2 linked regions of the Bombyx mori genome follow. Each later gene encodes a partner of the first gene's protein in a complex. Links are inferred from orthologs where the notes say so. Each region holds a gene or a part of one and is shown on either strand. Other genes may lie near its edges.

Region 1 (4,240 bases):
TTGTATTGGTGGGAAGAGCTGGATTGGAGCTGTCTGAATTGAATTACATTGTCAATTCGGTGTTTTTCAGGAATAAATGTATAAATGATAATGGCTTAAAAAAATAAAGAAATTTACCGATTAAATTGCTTATTTATAATGGTATGCTACGGCCTCGGGCCTGTTACCAAAATGCCTCTAAGAATACTATGCGAAAAGTTGCCATTTTGTAGAAATATATATATATAGAATTGAAACGGAGGTTGTGGCGATTTTATCATGTTCGGCGTCCCAAGGACATTTCAATTTTTTTCCAATTTATTATAACAGTTGAGGTTCGCTTGTTTCGTATATGAATTTGAGCGCACAGTACTTGTAAGCACGGCTTCTAGCTTCGACTGGTATAAAGGCGGAAAAACATTAATAAAACACGACGTGACGCAACGTGTTGATACGACACCCGATATGCACCGTGCACATTACCAACACGCGACGCCACGACATATGTACTAACAATTTCTGCAATTAGTTAGCTAACAGCAGTGGAAGTGTATGGATAAGTACTATGGATTTAATAAATAACGATTTAGATAAAGACTTTGAAGAAGGTCCGATGCAAATTTTGGGTACATATTATAATATGATATTTAAACGACTCGAATAACTAGGCGTTACTGGGTGTCTGAAATAAATGTACTCCTCATTGTATGATTTTGGAACGAAGTTCCTTACGGCAGGCTTGGAGGGGATAGGGATTTTGCTGCGTGACCGAACTGAAAAAAATGTGATAATAAAACCGTAAGAAAAAATCCGTGGAAAAAAGTGCGTGGAATAAAACCGTTAAATGAGACGTGCGCAGGCGCGACAGTCGCATACACAAGCGAGTAGTGTATAATACCTTTCTCTTTCTCCCTCTTTCTTTTCGTTCTCTCATCCATTCTCTTTCTATTATTTTTTCTATTTTCTATTTCTATGTAATTTTATGTTGTCAAACAAAAATAAAGAGACATATTTTGTTATTTTAGTTGATAATTTGAATTACGATGTTTTTTTATTTTAAGTAATTTATTATTTCCTAAAATATTGAATTTCCTAAATACTTTCTTGTACTTAAATAAAAACTAATCAGGAAAATTTAAGAGAAAAATCAAGAAAACCTACATAAAATTGAGCACGATTTTTTTTGCAATTTGTGTCGATTCTACATTAGCCGAAGGAATTTCGTTCCTACCTGGTGTCCCACGACACCATAATATAATTTTTATACTTTTTTTATTTATTGCTTTTGGTAAAAAAATTGTTACTAAAGACATTATTTCCTCCGGTTTTTGAGGATCGTAGACATAATTGAAACTATTTTTACGGCTTAATTTCTCGTTATTAATTTAATTTCTATCCAGGCTACTTCCCTTTGCCTGCTTAGATGAAAAATAGGCATTATGTCAGATTTACTAGAATGTCACACACATTTATTTGTCATAATTGTAAACCTACCAAAACTTATGTATTCATACATTGCTTGTCATCATTCATAAAAATATTATTTTTTGTTTCTACTTGGTATTTACAAAAGCTTAATGTAATAAACCATAATATATCCTCCGCTTGTAGATGCACCAAATTCACTTTTGGCAATTTTATTATGGGTATTCGAAAAAAAAAGGATCTTGATAAACACAAAGTCATAGTTTCCTACGAAATGGGAGGATTCAGATTCGTGTAAGGTTTTCATCTAAACGAAATTGTTTTGTTGTTTTAATTACAAAATTGTGTAAAATGCACGAAGCGTATGAAGTTTCACATCTGCTTAATGCCACCGTGCAGATCGAAGCAATAGCTGCATTCGGTAAGATATATATACATTTTAAACAGTTTAACATATTATTTAATAAAACTTGAACAGCTTCATCTCAGATTGATTACTTTCAAATAATATGGTTTGCACTTATCTAGCACTTAGATGGAGATGAAACCTTGAAAAAAATGTCAGACTTCAAAGTACCTTGTTTTCTGTAAGCAAATAAATAAACATGTTATAATAACCGGCAAACTTCTTGAGCATTTGTTGACGTAGTGGGGGTAAGTTTGCGCATGGTACACTCACGTGCAATAACATTACTTACTCTGCGTCATAAGGCTATTAAAATTATTAAAATCAACATATGTATTTATTTATTAGAACATCAACAAAACATATAGGTTAATAATTGTAATAATTTAATCTTGGGGTAAAATAGATATTCCTTCTATTAAGTCAAAACTAGAGCTGTTGCCAGGTCTTGGTTCAGTTGAAGCGAAGCTGGTATTTGTATTTTCTTTTTCGTTATCATAATCTTGACCATCATCATCATCACTGTTTTCATCACCCGAGTCGCTATCATCGTGATGAGTCGACATAGGGCTCATCGGCGTAGTTTACAACTCGGTCGATTCGGTCTTCTTTTTTGTCTATAATTAATTATTTTTTGAAGATATTCGATTCGTAGTAATCGAATGTTACTTTTTTCATTTACCAGCTTCCGATTATTTTCTGTTCTTTTTTCCATCTGAAGCCTAGTTCTTTCATAATTCGTCGTAAGCTTCATTCCGAGCCATTCAAATTTATATCTTCTTTAAATTTTTCGAAGCCTTTCTACGGTACGGAGTTTCGCTGCTTGTTATGTAGTTATTATGATTACATCTTTTTATTACAGATTGAACGAAACTATCCATTCCGGTAACTTTCTTCTTCCCTGATCTTTTCTTACCCGGAGTCCGCAACACGGCGAGCAAGCCAGAGCCTTTAGCTTCGTTAATAATGCACCTAACAGTACTCACTGATGTTTTTGTTGCTTCCGAAGTCTGTTTTAATTTTTCCATATCATTCTTCCCCTGTTTTATAATGAAGCAATATACGTCGTACACAAATTTTCTACCCTTTCTTTTAAGTACTACACCAGTTTGTCACGGCATAGTGTATGTGTAGTGTATTAGTGAGGGTACTTGTTCTCCTTTTAATAAAAGGATTGCTAAGTGCGGGTTGCATAAAGACAGACACACAATGAACTGATTTGTTACCGAACACATGTGCTTAAGTTCTTGATTAAATAATAAAACATAATATTGGCGACGATCGTAAAATACTAATATGGAGCGTAAATCAGTAAAATTCCAAGAATTTAATGTAAAATCGGATAATTGGGACAGTTATATTGACAGACTAAAATATTGTTTTGAGGCAAATGGAATCGAAAGTGATACTGTTAAAAAGGCTAATTTCTTTACTGTGTGTGGTGCTGAAGTGGTCGAAACTGTTCTCGCGTTAATTACACCAAGAAAATCTAGTGATGTGACTTTTGTTGAAATTGAAAACATTCTAACCAAACATTACAGTCCGAAACCAAATGAAATTTCTATGTCATACAAATTCTACAAACGAGATCAGGCACCAAACGAATTGGCTTCTGATTATATTGCTACGTTACGCAAAATTAGTTCGGGATGCAATTTTATTGAATTAGAACGTATGCTTCGAGATAGACTGGTGTGCGGCATGAGCGATCATAAGCTTCAGTATGAGTTGTTGAAGAGAGAACAACTTCGTTATGAAGATGTTGTACATGCTATGGTATCATCGGAGAGCGCCGGAAAGGATGTGCGCATGATTCAAAGCACGAGCACGGACACATTTGGTATGACACAGGGTGAGGTAGTGACGTCACATGCCGAGCCTATGGAAGTGAATGTCGTCAATTTCAAACGTAATTTTCGACTGTGCTATCGCTGCGGAGACCGACACGGTGGAGAGTGTCGATATATTAATTCAATTTGTCATTAGTGTAAGAAAAAAGGGCATATTGAAAAGATATGTACATCTAAGAAAAACAACAAAAGAAAGAGCATTAACTATACAGATGATGAATTTCAAGCGCAATTAAATGGTATTTACAACGTGAACACAAATAGTCGGCGCGTACCAGCTTACGAAGTAAATGTGTTACTAGATGGTGTACCAGTGATTATGGAAGTGGACTCGGGTGCTGCCTACTCTCTTGTGAATTTACATACGTGGCGTCGAATACACTCTCACATGCCTTTGGAACCTTTGATGAATAAATTATGTACTTGGAATAATTCTGCAGTCAGAGTGGACGGTCAAGCCACAGTGCTAGTACAATATAAAGACATTAAATGTTCTCTTAAGGTTATTGTGGCTCAGGGTTCGGGTCCAAATTTGTTAGGACGTAATTGGTTTGAAGCTTTAGGAATATGTGTAAATGTA
Region 2 (2,259 bases), on another chromosome or scaffold:
CATTAGTAAAATTCACTTTAAACCGTAAAACTAGTTTTAATTATGATATTTATATGATAGTTGAGTATTTAGGAATATAAGTAATAATAACACTATTAAATTATGCTTAAAAAAAAAATTAATTCAATTATTAAGAACTGGAAATCAATGTGAAATAATAATTGAAAATAAAACACATAATAATAATAATAAAATGTGCCCACACATACATAGCCACACACACATAAACCAACATATAAGCTAACATAAACACGCATAAGTAGTGATAATAATATTGTTTATCTAAATTTGACATTGATCCATGTTTATTTCTGTTTCTATTCATTTCTTTTTTTTACTATAATCAATTTTATGATTTCAATAAAGGCGGAAGACCTGAATATACCTTCAAGCGTTTTATTCATTTTAATGGATAATTTCAGCTCCACTTCTGTGTGCATTATAAGAGAGTGCATTTACTAAAAACAAACGTATAGGTATCATACTACCGACCCGCCCTCGCTTCGCTTCGGAAACTGTAATTTATTATTGATTTCTCCACTATTTAATGGATGTTATTATACATATAAACCTTCCTCTTCAATCACTCTATCTATTAAAAAAAACCGCATCAAAATCCATTGCGTAGTTTTAAAGATTTAAGCATACATAGGGATATAGGGACAGAGAAAGCGACTTTGTTTTATACTATGTAGTGATGCTCAGTGGTGAGATTAAAGGTAGCCTAGTCTTTACAAAGAGGCGAACTATTTCATTATCAAATTTCGTCAAAATCGGTTCAGTGGTCTGAGTGTGAAGACGTAACAAATACGACAATTATACTTTCACAGGTATCCAAGACGTATTAGGCCTCCTGCCGGGCCCTACAGTGGACGAGCTACAAACCCTACAACCTCGTATGACACGTCGCCATTCCGGTTCCAGTGAGAATTCATCATCAATAGAAAACCCACGGGTCGTGCTCGTATTCTTCATTGGAGGCTGTACGTACCACGAGATCTCAGTGCTCAGGACGATCAGCCAGCAGGAAGATTCGGTTGTGGAATTTGTTATCTTAACCACTAAAATAATCAATGGAACCACATTCATAGAATCTTTAATGGAACTCGATTGAGCCAAAAATTGGTGTATCCTTAACATAGGATATAATAATATATTAATATACATTCTGTCATATTAAAAAGAAATAGACTGAATCATATTTTTATTCAATTATGAAATAATGTCATGAATTTATTTTTATGACATAATAGTGTTCCAAATAAAAACAAGCCCAAATAGTATAGATGTCAAATTATATCCCTTTTATATGTAATTATGTCAAAAAATATATGAAATAAATTAATTGCAAACGTAAAATAAATTTTCAATACACAAAGCATGAAACATATAATATTAACTGATAAATGTACACAATGTATCATATAATTTGCTGTATTCTATGATATTTCTTGCTTAAAAAGTTCCTGTATTTACAAATTTAGAATACACCAAAAATATTATTCTGGTAAATATTATTATTATTATTTAAAATATAGATTCTTTTTTTAATATATCACATTAAATATAAGTCTCTGTTTGTTTTATTGTTATAGATGTGTAAATAATTAAATTGTAATACAATTAGGTTTAGTTGCTTCATGTATTTTATTGCTTCAATTTGCTGTTAAATATGGGCGAAGAAATGATAATTTCTCTAGTTATATTTTGTAACATGCAAAATTGACTGCACTAGTAATAAAAATCATAATACTGGAAATATATTTTATTCTTGTCTTTACAATTTCAAAGAACACTTAAACAGATCACCATAAATAATGATTGTATTAAAACTTAATATTCGTAACTTGCATATACATAAAATTTAATTTGATCAGTATTTATATAAACTAACATAATTCTGCTTGCTTACTCTCTATTATATTACAAATTTAAAGCTTCAGCATAATATAAATAATTTCATACATCTTATTTATAGACTATTGACTATTCTCATAAATATTCATTACTTGTGTATTTTGTGATGTTTTTGGATGGTGTAATACTGACACCATAGTTCTTTGCCAAAGCTACTAATTTCTCATTATCATAGCCAACTTCTTCTTTATAACATCTAAGCATTAAAGGCATCACTGTTTCTAAAATGAATTTGAAATTCTTCTTTGCATAACTAATATCGTTGACTGATGCGAGGACAAGCCATGAATTGAATATTGTATAAATGTATTCATCAAGGTTATCCATCATATCTTTGTTCAC

What was found.
Region 2: vam6/Vps39-like protein (region 1) and vacuolar protein sorting-associated protein 33A share a complex: the UniProt entries of both Drosophila melanogaster proteins name them as parts of the homotypic fusion and vacuole protein sorting (HOPS) complex. The link is inferred for Bombyx mori from reciprocal best matches to the Drosophila melanogaster genes Vps39 and car.

What each region holds. Positions count from the first base shown.
Region 1 is NC_085124.1:8,489,232-8,493,471, reverse strand, and holds the start of vam6/Vps39-like protein, read left to right. Parts: upstream 1-1,440; 5' UTR 1,441-1,755; coding exon 1,756-1,825; intron 1,826-4,240. UniProt on the Drosophila melanogaster protein: Part of the homotypic fusion and vacuole protein sorting (HOPS) tethering complex involved in endo-lysosomal vesicle trafficking and lysosome biogenesis.
Region 2 is NC_085122.1:6,418,093-6,420,351, forward strand, and holds the end of vacuolar protein sorting-associated protein 33A, read left to right. Parts: intron 1-830; coding exon 831-1,114; 3' UTR 1,115-1,759; downstream 1,760-2,259. Other genes in the region: exocyst complex component 8, read right to left, coding at 1,993-2,259. UniProt on the Drosophila melanogaster protein: Core component of the class C core vacuole/endosome tethering (CORVET) and the homotypic fusion and vacuole protein sorting (HOPS) tethering complexes involved in endo-lysosomal vesicle trafficking and lysosome biogenesis.